Drosophila melanogaster: one gene and its partner. The gene in region 2 interacts genetically with the main gene of each other region. Each region holds a gene or a part of one and is shown on either strand. Other genes may lie near its edges.

Region 1 (7,950 bases), on a different chromosome or scaffold from region 2:
GATAAAAAAAGCCAAATGTGTGACGAATCCCCTCAGCATATAAATTATTGCATCTTTTGTTTTTTTTGGGTGAAAACACTTTTCCCCCTTTTTGGAGTCTGTCAGAAAGAACTTTCCAGTTATTAGCCCGACTCCTGGCTGGCCATTTATCAAATTCATAAAAATGAAATCTCCCACAGCAGGAAGAAAAACAATCAAATAGTTGGGCGGCCCGTCACGACTTCTAATGCCCCGCAGACCGCACACTTCACTCAGGTTTCCCCTCGTCGCTAAGCGCCATAAAAATCAACAAGGAATTCATTTAAATCAACATATATCTTGGCCAAAGGAGGAGTTCTTCTCCTGCCCCCGCATCCGTAATCCACTTGGGTTTAGTTCCGTTTGGATCAGTTCACACATTTGCTACCGTTTCATATTTTTCATGCTCATTATTTCTGGTGCATATCTATGTATGTGTATGAATGAGAGGTACGGGGGAGTTGCAGCTAGCACACCCCAAGTAATAACTGCAGTTCCCACAGCTAAAAATACATACCCCCAAAGTCACTAATTTGAGGTTGAGAAAGGTCTCCATCTCCGTCTTAGTCTGCCGGTGCCCTCAGAATTGATTAAAAAAGAGGGAAGTAGATCGTCACTGGTCGACAGATCGAAGCTCCCAACCGACCGGGTGTACAATAAAAATTAAAGTGTTTTAATGTGTAAATCGTGCGTTGGAAACGACGCACCGAGGATCCGAGCCCGGGAAGCCCCAAAAAGGAGGACTGACAGATACAGATACAAGCCTGGCTACCGATCGTCAGCGATCGTGCCACACTAAATGGCGTTTACCTTGATCCCTGGGCCGGGAATAAGAAAAAAAAGGAAAGAAAGAAAGAGGAGAAGCCACAGCAGCAGCGGCGTTTGGGGCTGATATTGAACTTTGATTTCTGACTGGTTTCTTCGTTATAGAATTTCAATTCTCAGTTTCTGAAGAAGCTCTGCAGACTCTGCACGTTTCGCCAGACGATTGATCCACATATGTCGGATGGTTCTGAGGTTTCTTCTCCCTGGCCCATGGCACTTTTACATTTTGCCAGCTCATCGTGCTTATTTCGGGTTTCGTGGGAAAATGTTTGCCAAATTTGCGGCGTTCAAAGGAGCCAAAGTGATCGCCATTAAGCAGGGTGATGTGCTCATCAGTGCAGAATTCAGCCGAACCCCATGGTTTAGTTGCTGTGGATGTTTTAGTTGGTCAATCGTAGCCGTGGCATTTATTCAATTTACGAAAGTTGACATCGGATCAGTGCTGCAGAGCTTGTGCATGATGGATGATCGCCACAGATTATTGCTCAACACGGGATTTACGCTCAGGCCGCGAGGGATCACTTTGCACAACCAGGGTTGCCAGGCGGCGCAATACGTTTACGATCCCACCCAAAACTCCCCAAATCGGTCCATAGGTAGATCTACGTCAGCTGTCAGCTGGCGCATGGCCCGCGTCAGTGGTTATTGACAACTCCTTTGGTCGTAATCCTGCCAACATCGTAAAGTAATAAATTTGCCTGAAAAAGGAAAATCTGCCGGGGATCGACTATAAAAATTGGCCCAGCCAGGTAAGCTCCGTAATGATTGACCCCGACCCTCAGTCCCAGACCCACGACCGATCCAGGTCCGATTCCGATCCATTGCAAGTCGCGATTCCGTCCCGAAACCCAAGCAACCCCCTAAGACGCTTCTGCCGATGAGCCGACCAGGCAAAAGCGAAGAATTTGAAACTAAGGATTTCGCCTTGCAAGGGGGTTGGGTTGTCACGGGGGTTGCGGCAGCTGCGCCGAACAATTGCCAAGGAGTTCTCCTTAATGAATTGCAAATCATTCGCCGGGCATTGATCAAGTTTGTCCTTGCCAAGGGTGAAATCTGTGCGACTAAATGTGCCATCAGCCAGCCACCCAAAAGGGAAACGGACACAAACGGAACATCTGTCGCAAATAATGCTACTCACTGATAACTTATAGAAAATCTCACTTGATACATTTTTTAAGGAACTAAAGATTTTTTGCTTTGCTTTAGCAAATTTCAAGTACTAAAGAAGAATCGCTGTTAATTCTCTGAATATAGTTCATATTTTTGTTAACTATTGCTTTAATCAATTCATTAAAAGTAATAAGCAAGTAAAAAGTAAAAAAAAGTAAAGTAATAATATTCATAAGATTTATAGTAGCTTTGTATAATTATTGCTAAATATATGAATATTCTAAAACAAATAGATTGGGTATTAAGTCGGCTTCGACACGAATTAGAAGATTAAATTCAGTTATAAATTTTTGTTAAATTGTAATAAACTTTAAATTCATTAATGATATGTTATTGATTTTAATGCTTAATTTCCTTCAAAATTATTTAATATACAATGCTTGCTGTATTTTACAATAAAATCAACTAAATTTTGTGGGTTTCGTCAAGCCAAAGGCTAATGACTTGGCTTAACCGAATGTTGTGTTGTTTCTCGATCAGGCTCGACTTAGTCTCGTTTACTTGAGTTAAGCTCCTATTTTCACTAATCCCCTGGAATCCGCAATTCGTTGACTCGGCAACTCTGCCTGCCTGGGAATACCTACTCAAATACTCACTTAAATCTCACTCCGAGTGTGAACTCATTGGATTTGGGGTGGTTATGCACTCACTCACTCTCCGATTGAGCGCAACTGCGCTGCTGCGGTGAAAAGTTCTCAGTCTGCGGACGGCGATCGTTGGGCTGCCTACCTGCCTCAGCTCTGCCTCTGCCGCTGCCCGCGTCGCCAGGTAAGAGAGTCCCTCGGTTTCACTCGTGGACTCGTTTCGGCTTCGACCCGATTCGTTTTTAGCTGGTGCCCGTGGACTCGGAGGATCAGTATCCTTTTGGCATCTCGCGAGCGCGGTCGTCTGCCGCTCTCCTTTGAATGAACATTTAAAATACTATTCTATACGATTCGATAACCAGAACGATCTTTAACGCGTACCGCTTGTTAAGTTTTTGTTGTTCGGACATTACTAAGAAGTACGTGCAATAATTGTTATAACTATTTTCGTACTCGAACCAAAGTTATTGTGTTGTGAAAAAGACCAAATCGAAATCGAACTATCTTGGATTATCTCCCACTTGGATATACAAATTAAAATCGTTACAAAATGGATTACAAAAACGATATTAATTCCGACGACGATTTCGACTGCTCCAACGGCTATAGCGACAGCTATGGCTCCAATGGACGCATGTCCAATCCCAATGGATTGTCAAAAGCAGAACTTAGAAAGGTGAGTTCGCTCTTTTGCGATGAAATTGGACTCGCAAACTAAAAAATAGCAGAGTTTATTAGCACCCTCGATCGTTTTGAACCTTTTCATTTTAATGGCTTAGAAAATGTAAAGCATTAAATTAATTTTAAAAATCAAGTGAAACCCTTGTTTTATATAAACAAAGATATCCCTTAAACTGAAATAAATTCCTACGAAATAAACTAATTGATTCCCTTTCTTTTCTAGACCAACAAACCGATTATGGAGAAACGTCGCCGAGCTCGCATTAATCACTGCCTCAACGAACTGAAGTCCCTTATCCTGGAGGCGATGAAAAAAGACGTAAGTATCTTGCCCGAGCGTCAAAGCAGAAAAGGAGCGGTCCGCCCGCGAATTAGAAACTAGCCCCCGATCCCTTTTGGTTCACTTTCTTATAAATAATGTTAGTCCACAAAAAAAAACCTTTAAGGCACAAGTGTCCGAAGGGCGGCAGAACTACAAAAGAACAAAAAAATGTATAAAAAACGAACTCCTACGACACAAGAACTGAAAAAAAAAACACAAACCAAGGGCTCTAATTGAGTATTAAATTTTATTGATGATCATTACACTAGAGCGCCGACGAGGAGTCAGTCAAGAGACCAAAAAGTGTTAACAAGTCGAGGAATTACGCAGAAATCGCCGGAGATGCGAACGAAACCAGTTTCCAAGGAGTGATCCTGCTGTGAGAAACTACAAAGCAGAAATCAAGTAAAATTTGCCGCCGCAGAATTCTGCAGGAGAGCCGGACCAAAAATCAAATAAGAAAGACATTGAGGGAAAAAAGCAAAAGTAAACAAAAGGTTCAGACAGGGGAGCGGGGGAGGTTGAGGGGGCGGGGCTGGCGAGCGACCTGCGTGGGAACCTTTTGCTAAAATATGCAGTCCCAGCGGCGAGAAAGGGACGAACAATCGGGGACCGAAGACTGGCGAAGATCGCACTGCGCGAAAAAAGAAGATCAGGAAGAACGATTTGGAATCTTCTGTGCCCAAAAAGTCTTCATATGAGATCACAAACGATAAGATCGGCGAGTAGTTTATTTTAGAACCACTTACTAAAGACAGTCACTTTTCCATCATTAGTATTCACTTGCCAGAAAATTTGACTTTAAGCCCCCTTTTTGCTCAGTGCACAGTAGCAAGATCAGTCGTTCTTCTCGCTGGAGTTGCTGAATCTCACCTTGGTCGTGTGATATTTACAGAGTGGACTCGACTGAAGTGGACTGCAGATTACACGCGAATAGTTGGACATATGAGGCACGAAACGTGCTTCTTAACTTCGCTTTTTCCCAAGCTATTGAACTTGTTGTAGGGCCCCAAACAATTAGCCCGACCATCTCCCACCCCATCCCCATTTCATCATTATCTGACTTTGGTTCCTTCGTCTTCTATACTTTTAGCCGGCTCGTCATACCAAACTGGAGAAGGCCGACATACTTGAGATGACGGTGAAGCATCTGCAGTCGGTGCAGCGCCAGCAGCTCAACATGGCCATCCAATCGGATCCCAGCGTTGTCCAGAAGTTCAAGACGGGATTCGTTGAGTGCGCGGAGGAGGTGAACCGCTATGTAAGCCAAATGGATGGCATCGATACCGGTGTTCGTCAGCGGCTCAGCGCCCATCTTAACCAGTGTGCCAATAGTCTGGAGCAGATCGGTTCGATGAGCAACTTCAGCAATGGATACCGTGGTGGCTTGTTTCCCGCCACAGCTGTCACGGCTGCTCCCACTCCGCTGTTTCCCTCGTTGCCGCAGGACTTGAACAACAACAGCCGCACGGAGTCATCGGCTCCGGCCATCCAAATGGGTGGACTTCAGCTAATTCCCTCCCGCCTGCCCTCGGGAGAGTTTGCCCTCATCATGCCGAACACAGGTTCCGCTGCTCCGCCTCCGGGACCCTTTGCCTGGCCAGGATCTGCAGCGGGAGTCGCAGCTGGAACAGCCAGTGCCGCCTTGGCCAGCATTGCCAATCCCACACATCTAAATGACTATACACAGAGCTTCAGGATGAGCGCGTTCAGCAAACCGGTCAATACCTCAGTTCCGGCCAATCTTCCGGAAAACCTCATCCACACACTGCCCGGCCAAACGCAGCTGCCGGTGAAGAACAGCACAAGCCCACCGCTGAGCCCAATCTCCTCCATCTCCAGCCACTGCGAGGAGTCCCGGGCTGCCTCGCCCACCGTGGATGTGATGAGCAAGCACAGTTTCGCCGGCGTCTTCTCAACTCCGCCACCAACCAGCGCGGAGACCTCCTTCAACACCAGCGGATCCCTCAACTTGAGTGCCGGAAGCCACGACAGCAGCGGATGCTCGCGACCGCTGGCCCACTTGCAGCAACAGCAAGTGAGCTCCACCAGCGGAATCGCCAAGCGCGACAGGGAGGCGGAGGCCGAGTCCAGCGACTGCTCCCTGGACGAGCCCTCGTCCAAGAAATTCCTAGCTGGCGCCATCGAAAAGTCGAGCTCCGCTTGGAGGCCGTGGTAGATCAACCGCACAGGCCACTTCTATGTTACGTTTATACATTGTTAATTTATTTCATTGCAATTTTTTCAAAGATCACTTCAATGCTTTAGAACCCCATTAAGTTTCAACGATTTCTATATGTTTTTATGTATCCCCGTTTCGCTTTCTTCATTTTAAGTTCAGCTGTGATTTTGTATATTTTTTGTGTAGTTCTCGTTTAAGCGCTTTATACGACTATTATGTAGTTCATTAAATAATTATGTTCTTTAATGTTTCATTAACTGCTCAAGTATTTAAACAATTAAACGTGTTTCTATTTAAGTTATGTAGTTTTCATTGTATAGCGTTTATCATTAGGTCATTCACGTTTCTATATTAGTGTTTTAATTTAACGATTGTAATTTTAACTTTTAGGTAATGCAAAATTCGATGGAGTGAAAATAATGATAATAAAAAAAAAATGCTGCAAAAGAAAAATCCATCCAAATTTAATGGTTCCTTGGTTCTTAACTGATTAGAATTGGAAAATTCAAGATCGCATCAACAATCAATAGTACTTGAACTCATTGAAAAGTCGGAAGCTGAATTCAAATCAATACGGAAACAGCCTTATCATGTATGTTCGATGTTTTCGCAAAGTTTGATTGAAAAGATAACTCAATCGAAAGCTCCCAATCCATGCTATATAAGCAATAGGCGGAACACATTTAGTGTGTCAAAAACTAAATTATTGCAATCAAGAGCGCGCAGTGACTTTCAGGCGTGCATTGAAAAATCTCAGAAATTATAAAAACAATTTAATTGAAAAATTTTAATTTTACCATGCCAGGAAATCTGTTTCAAGTGTTACTAACTGTGGCGATCCTGCCAGCTATTAGTTTGGCATCTAGTTCTGAAGATGGTCTGCACCATTACCGTGCTTCTCCAAAGCTCACGGGTCCTGTGAAGCTCCTACACGATCCCGAGGACACCATTCTGAACACCTTGGATGGCGCTCTGGAGAAGATCTCCACCATCTACATGCAGGCCTTGTTCGCTGGTACCCACACCCCGGAACTGGAAGCCCCACTCCGAGCCCTCGAAATCGAGTTGTTCGATCTGCTGGACGAGCTCTATAATCAGAATCGTCTCAAGGACTATATAAAGTACGAGGCGGAAGTGACGCGACAAATGATAATCTACAACATGCTGAAGAGATTGTTTGGCTACACACAGGAAAATGAGGCTGGATCTGTCTGAGCTGTAAATTCTAAATATGTTTTCTAATTATAAGTCCTTCATCAATGCAAAAGTAGACGAAGTGAATTTTAATATACCACACCATACTATATACTATTGTATAATGCCTAAAATTCTTACTCATACAAATATTCAAGGTTTTTATTTTTTACTTTCTTATGTTACTTTGGTATTATCTTCGATATTTCAAAATAAAGTTAAAGTAAAGTAAAATTTTTGATAGTCAAGGAAATCGACTATCAAGTTTTTTTTTGTTATCTGTACGATTTCGGGTGATATTGTGGCAAAAGTATGTCCTATGGCCTTTGTATAAAATGAACAATTTTACAGGATTTTAATAAACTTAAGCCCTAGAAATAGAATGCGTTAATATACATATCTTTTTTATAATAATAATTTATTAATAATGAAATAGCAATAAATAATTATTTTGCTAACCGTTGGTTAGCAAAACCACTTGGCTAACAAAACATCCGTGTTAGAATTGACCTAAAGTGTTCATTGTGATCTCTTAATGAAAATGATTGAATAAGGTATCCAGATACAAATAGATTTACATCCTCATATCCCATTATTAATTTGTAGTTTCCACTTTAATGCCTTTCCCTTTCGACCCTTTTTTAATTTTTCTTCACAATTTGATTTCACTTCCGTAATAACTTCCGCAACAGCCTGTTCTCGTCCTGCGGCTGCCTTGCGTGTGGCTGTCGAGTGTCGCCCCGCCGTTTAGGGACTCGGATCCTCCAACATTTCGATCCCAGTACTTCCCACACTCAATCATATCGGCGCTGCTGTTACCCGATCCTGCTGTGAGAAAGGAACAACACCTTCGCCGAGCGATCAAAAATTATCATAATTTCCATTTCCTTTTACGCTATTATCCTTTTGCATTTCCCAATACCGATGCACTTGCTCGTTTGTTTCCCACACATCCTTGAGATCCCTTATCTGTG
Region 2 (7,084 bases):
AAAAAATCAGATGATTGCATTAGAATTTCGTTGTTTGCTTTCAATCGAAGCTGTTATTGTAACACACACCCGCTGACGCACACACACACACGCACACACACGAACGCACACGAAAGGATACTCGCGACCGGATACATATATTTTTAGACATATATATATATATATTTATATATATTTGTATATATTTTATTTCATTTATTGTATATAAATAGTATTTGACGGCACTCGAACTGCAACTGAACCTCAGCCCCTCAGCGGATTGAGAGGCATGGGCGGTTGACTTGGGGGCGGCAAACGCGCGCGCACTTTGCACCCATTTATATATATATATCTATATTCTATACCGTATATATATATGCAATATATATATTTTATATATAATAATGCGGCCTCACTCCACGCCACTCCACTCGACGGCGTGTGTGTGTGCTAGTTGCTGGTTGCTGGATTTTTTAGAAAATAAGCAAGTCCGAAACTGAACCGAACCGTCGACGACTTGGACCAACTCTGCGGCTCCTCGCTGGAGCGGCAGCTATCGTTACGCGGCGTTGGCGTTACTTCTTTTGCTCGGTGCGGTGCGTCGAGCCGAGAATATAAAAAAGCAATGTTCTACTCAAAAGACGTCCAAAAGCCGTATGCCAACTGCGGTGCCCGGCCGATGCCTTCCGATGCCGATAGATGCGATGCGATGCGTTGCGTTGCGTTGCGTTCAGTTCGTTCGGCGTTCCGTCATCGCGACACGGACACGGACTTTAGCAAACGACGACGCGTACATGGCCTCCACCAGGCCGGGGAACACACCACGCGCCCCAACCCTTCGCACCCCATCATCGACGGCCGCCAAAAAAAGCTACAGACGCGCAAAATGCAGCGAGCCATCCGAAAAAACCCCCCCTCCGTATGTAAAAGCATCTCTGTTTAAGTTTTTTTCCTTTGGCCAAAGTTCGCGCGCGCAAAAAGCACACACACACACACATGACACATGGGCATGGGGTATCTATGTACTTTGACCACTCGATGTGCGAATGAAGCGCGGTCCAAAAAGGGGGCGGTGGAATGGGTGATGTAGGCGGTCGGACCAGGTTGCCCATCAAGAAATAGAAAAAAATTGGCTCCAACTCTACGCAATGTCTACGCGCCCACACTTCGATCCATCCAGCCAGCCCATCACAGCCCAACCCCCATCAGTGCCGCCGACCCTTTTTCGAGCCGACCAACCACGCACGGCGTTGCTGGCAAGGAAATGCAGCTGCACCACCGCCTCCTGCTCCCTTTTTTCCCGGCCCCAGATCATTACGAGATGCCTCATCATCGCCATCGCCATCATCATCAGCATCAGCATCCTGGCAACGCACAAATCACGCAGGCAGCTGGGTGGCTGGGTGGCTGGGCGGCTGGGCGGCTGAAGGGCAGTTGCTTGCTGCACGTGCTGGGGCTCCAGGAACAGCTGCTGCTACTGCTGTGGATACTGCAACCCCCTCCCACGGCTGGCCATGTAAATTTCCGAGGCCTGGTCAAGTAAATAAAATGCAGCCAAGGGGGCTGGGGTGGGATGTGCGCCGGCGAGGGGGCAAAGGACTTCTAAAAATAAGCCGAAAAGAGACAACACAACCAAAAAAGAAGCAACCGCCTCAGTCTAGCTGCTTGCGGATGCGTTTGTGTGCGTAAGTGTGTGTGTGAGAGTCCTGGAGTGCAATTGCCTTGCAGCATTGCATCCTTTCGGCTGCACTCGCCACTCTCGTTGCGCAGCCCTCGCTCTCTCTTTCTCACCCACTCTCGCTCGCTCTCTCTCCCTCACTCTGTCTTTCTCTCTGGCTCTTTGGAGTTTTCCTTTTTTCCCATCTAAACTGTGGCAAGTTGGCGTCGACAGCGATGCCGACGCCGACTTCGCTGCCATCTGCTATTTACTAGTGCAGCCGTTGGTAAATGAAGCAGCCACCCAGCAACACCCCATCGCCAATACCACACCCCCCCCCCCCCCAAAAGCGACCAAAATCCTGCCCAGCCACCCACTGCCCCTTTGGCTGCTGCTATCTTCTAGTTGGCAATTGCATTGCCTGCAATGCACTTCTCCTGTTGTGGAAGCGGGGAAAGCCAGCGCGGTGCATTGCGCATGTCCTTGTTTACATTATGTGCATGCCTCCAAAACTTCGCGTCTTGCACTCGTGTTTGTTGCTGTGTGCGTTTGTGTGCCTGTATGTGTGTGAGGATGTAGAAAAGCAAAAAGTCTACAACTACAACTAAACCTGCTGCTGCTGGGGAGAGCCGCGTGCACACCAGCAACACGATGCTGTTGCATGTTGCTGCTGCAGCTGAACGCCGTCACCCGACGACAGGACACGAAGAACTTTGGGAGGAAGTGCCGAGCTCAATCGCGGAGAAAGACTTCTGCGATCTTCAGACCCACTGAACTAAGGAACTCCAAAGGAGACATTTCCTCTTAAATATTTACTTGTAGCAATTAATATGGTTATTATTTTGGCGCTTTGAAATAAACATGCTGTTTAGCTAAGTTACTAAAATTTGACTGCCCTGCTTTCTTTCGTTGGTGAAATAGATTTTGTGCCTTAAAAAGAGTATATCTTTGAATTGATTTTAACTTAGATGATAACATTATAATTAAAGAATGAACCTTTTCCTAATTTTTCTAATGAAAATCAATACTGCTCAATGTTTCACACTCATATTATCCATTTACTATTTGTCTTAAATGTCGTTCTCTTCTCGTTCTCTTCCAAAAATGATCAGTAGTTAAATGCTCACTGTTAATCATTTTCTTATGATCAAGCATCCCATAATAGATACTTTTCTTAATCAGAACATCTTTAAATTACCTAGATCTTAAAATATACGCTTCGAATGTATTTATTTCCCTTATTTCTCTATCTAAATTCTATAATTCTGAAAAGATAAATAAACCCCAATGAGTCAATGATTGATGAAAAGAATGGAGTAATGGTTGAAAAATGAATTTTTGATAGTGATCTTTACTTACCCTCAAATAAAAGTACATCGAAAAAATATCACATCACAACAATTTTTGATATTCCGTTTGCATTTAATGTTCTCTCTAAACTTTGATTAATTTTCTCACTAAGTTCCGTTTTTTTATGCTTCTTTTTTAATTTTTTTTTTTTTTGTAAATTTATTTTTATTTTTTTGATAAATTATTATAAGAAAATTTTGCACTTGTAAAATTTAGCGTGTAATTTTTGTTGCATTCATAGACTTTTTGGTTGTTTAAAAATTTTCAGGTAATTTCGTAGTTTTCGATTTCGAGTGTTGACTTCTGCTCTTCTTCGCCTTTTTTTTTTTTTGTTCTCTGGGGATCCTTTCCAAAATATTTGCTTGCCGAAATGCACAATACAAAAGGTGAATTAACTAAGGATCTACGTCTGAATTTGTAGAAACTGAGAGTGTGTCGGGACGATGACGAACCTTTGGCCGAGACTTGAAGACGGAACGGGCCAGACGATATCGAAATCAAATTCAGACGCTTGAATTTTTGCTCAAATCGGAATCGGTGCGGTACTGAAACTGGAGTTACTCAATCGTTTTACTTTATTATTTTGGTTTTTCGTTGGTTTCTGCTGCTGACGTTACGGACTGACTGGTATTGCCTGCTTATTTGGTTGCTTCTTGGCTTTGACTTGCTTTGTTGTGGCTAGTTGTAGTTGTTGTTTACGAACGAAATGTTGCGTTTGACTGGCGCTGATTATCAAGTGATTAATATTATCGATATTGGTAAAAATGTAACTTTGTCTATTTTGTTATTTGTTGTTGGCTGGCTGGTTTTGTTAGTTAGTTTTGGGAAATGAAGAAAAAACTGCTCTACATTCTAGTGCCGGCGCTTACATTGTCTTTGGCGCAAGCCGGCCGTGTGTGTTTTTGGGTTTTTGGCGGGTAATTTTTTGCACTCAAGACGGCATGGCGAGCGATGGCTGTTCGAGCCCCAGCCCGAGTCTTAGTTCGAAGGGCTGGCGGGCCAACGGGGCGTATGAGCGCCTGGGCCGCATTGCGTATACGTAGTGTGTTCCAGGCTGGGTGGTGTAGGTGGTACGTACATAGGTGTCTAGTCTTGCACTTCAAGTCATTTTGCACACACTTTCACTTTCACATTCACTTGGCACTTTTTTTCGTTCTCCTATCGTTTCTCTGCTTCGATGTCTCTCTTTTCTATTTCTATTTGTTTGTTTGTTTTTCTTTTGTTTTTCGGTATTTTTCTGTTGTAGAGTTTTTTCTTGGGGTGGCTAACTGCTTCTGCTACTGCCTCTGGGTTTGATTTATGCAGATGCGAAGAAGTCTGCGAGAAGTGGCGACCTGCCTGCCGACTGCCTGCCTGCCTGCCTTGCACTGCCTACTGATGTGCCTTGCCTGCTGTCTGCTGCCTGCTGCTGCCTGATCCTGGCAGCACGGCTCAGTTCGATTCAGGACAGGCCAGGACAGGGAGACAGCGAGAACCCGAGGAGCAGAAAAAAGCGCCGCAACTTGTTTCGCGTTTAGCAGTTTTCTGTTGCAATGTCCTGGCAAAAATTGCTAACGATGACGGGCCCCAGAGTCACAGAGCCAAAGCCAAAGCCAGAGCCGCTGTCGATGTCGATGGCGTCGTCGCTGCAGCGCGTTGATTATGAGGGACGCCAGCCCCTCGGCCGCTGATGCTAACGCTGATGGAGTAGGATGATGCGGATGTGGATACTTGGATACGTGGATACGGATGAAAGTGGCCGCTGGCCGGGCGCGAAACGCGCAAAAAAATTCCGCGGCTACGTCGCAGCTGCAGCGCCAACCGAATTGTCCTCGTCCTTTTTGGTTTGGCTTTGGCGCAAAAAATTGCTGCGACTGCGACGTCAGCGCCGCTCCTAGCTGCTAGTGTACATATACATGCAAACCTCGCACACAACCACAAACACACACACACACCCACTAGAACAGTGGGCGCACATATGCATTGCTGGACAAATCCAAAAACACAGAGAGAAACAGACAGCAACGCGCGCTCAGTCGCGAAAAATCAAAACAAAGCGCGACGACAGCGGCAGCGGCGTCCTCGCCAATACATGCACACTGCGAGAAGGACACGGACAATGCACATATCGCACACACACACGCTGGCATGCTGCCCCACACTCTTCACACTTTCAATCAAGAGCAAAACGCATTTTGCTGCGCCTAAAAATCAAACAACGCCAAAAAGTATGGAACACCCAAACCCCCAAACGACTGATGAGGTGGTTTTTGGACTGGGCAACTGCGTGGTGGTCTGTTTCGCTGACTGGGTGGCGAAAAACTGCAGCTATCGAGCCTAAGTGTACCTAAAACCCAGCCCCTTTTCCCGCCAGATGGACCATACCATTTCGCAGATACAGATACATCTGCAGGGAGGTAGTGTGGCAGCTGTGGGAGCTGTTGCTCCTGGCTGTGCACTGTTCATGTGCCCCATCCGTCCATGCATCCATACATCCCATCCGCACACCCACCAGCCGACAGGACCCGCCATGTGGCCATGTTTTGTTTTGATTTCGTGCTTCTCACACACATCCATATGCGGGGAAAATGCAATTTTTTCGTTTTCATTTGCAATGCCAAAGCAACAAAATGAAAATCGCAAAAAAAGAAGAGGGAAACCTGAAAGCAAAAAATAAAGCAAAACCCTAAGCGAAACGTAAAAGTTTTCTATGTTGCCCCTGCGCGAATGCAACACACATTTTTTTCCTATTTTATTTTGCCGCCATTTATGGGTGTTGGTTATTGGCACTGGTATTGGTATATCGTCAGAGTTGGCATTAAAATATCCAGCAAAGAAAACTGCAGCTGAAAAAAATGTAGAGCGTCGTCCGCACTCATACCCCGCCAAAAAGGATCCGCGACAACAAGAGCAACAATAATAGAGCCAGCATAAATTCCTACTAACTCATGCACATGGGGGTTCTGGGAAAGCGCATCAAAAAAGCGGAGAAAAATTGGTGGGCGAGTGCAGCGACAGCCACTGCAATTCTCTATGTACGTGCTCAGAGATATATGTGTCCATATATATGTACATATATATATGTATATATATATTATATATATGTATATCAGTGATATATAGACGAGGAGGCACAGATCGGAACTAGGCAGCGCCTGCATTTAATCCTACGCATCGCGCTCGTTACTCATACGCCGCGTATTCCCGGAAATGGATAGAACGCGGGCACAGGTCTGGGATGGCGCAGTTTAGGCCGGATAGGAACAGCAGCACCCACAATCTCCACCCAGTACATGAAGTTTATGGCTTTATCGATGGCATTGGCTATTGACTTTGCCACTGTGCCCGTTCTGCTTTTGCTTCGGGCTCGATATGGTTTTGGTTTGGTTTGCTATGGTTCGGTATGGTTTGGTTGGCCTTCGCAGGATATCAGAGAGAAATTGGGAATGCTGCTCATAAAGAGATTGCCAGATAGCTTATGGATTCATAAGTTGTTATGCACAAATACAAAGGTGGTGGCGTGCAGTAGGCCCACTGCCACCAGCTGCGGTTTCCAACTCCCTGCCCAACGAGCCATCAGTCCTGTCCATCCTGTCATCATTAATTAATGAGCTCGCGGACCGCAGCAGGCAGCTGATGACTATGCGCAGAAATCATATTAAAAGTCGAATAGACCTGGAATTCCTAGGGCATTTCGATTTCAACCGATTTAAATAACTGATCTACATATGCAAGTTACATCAAATTATATGCATTCCCTTAAGGCATTGCTCGCTTGGCTTGCTACTTAAAATTACGCTTTTAATGCAGCAAAGAACATATCCATATAACCAGATATATATATGATCTGAAAAAGTATTTCGCTCAGCATGGGTTTTAATTAAGCATATATACTTTTTTGAGGTTCATATGAGCATATCGAATGCATCAACATTGGTTTATTTAAACATACAATATTCACATCCCATTTTTGAATGATTACATAAGCCTGCCAACATAAACAATTGTTGTATCAAATTGTTACTATCTGGTTTCTAATCAGTCATCAGCTTACCCCCCATCCCCCCTTTCCACTTCTAAACCAACTGCGATCTTCATTAAATTCGCATTATGCTGCCG

What was found. Genes that interact genetically often act in the same process or in processes that back each other up.
Region 1: of pros (region 2) and dpn, changing one suppresses a phenotype caused by changing the other (phenotypic suppression), as found in Drosophila melanogaster (one study listed by BioGRID).

What each region holds. Positions count from the first base shown.
Region 1 is NT_033778.4:8,227,246-8,235,195, reverse strand, and holds dpn (deadpan), read left to right. Parts: upstream 1-2,865; 5' UTR 2,866-3,147; coding exon 3,148-3,273; intron 3,274-3,501; coding exon 3,502-3,597; intron 3,598-3,607; exon of another isoform or gene 3,608-4,092; intron 4,093-4,130; exon of another isoform or gene 4,131-4,693; coding exon 4,694-5,779; 3' UTR 5,780-6,225; downstream 6,226-7,950. Other genes in the region: CG34217 (uncharacterized protein), read left to right, coding at 6,581-6,997. UniProt on the Drosophila melanogaster protein: Transcriptional repressor of genes that require a bHLH protein for their transcription.
Region 2 is NT_033777.3:11,325,868-11,332,951, reverse strand, and holds the start of pros (prospero), read right to left. Parts: upstream 4,473-7,084; 5' UTR 2,996-4,472; intron 75-2,995; exon of another isoform or gene 1-74. UniProt on the Drosophila melanogaster protein: Homeodomain protein that controls neuronal identity. As a transcriptional factor, regulates the expression of ftz, eve and en in a subset of neuroblast progeny and modulates the transcriptional activity of other homeodomain proteins such as Dfd.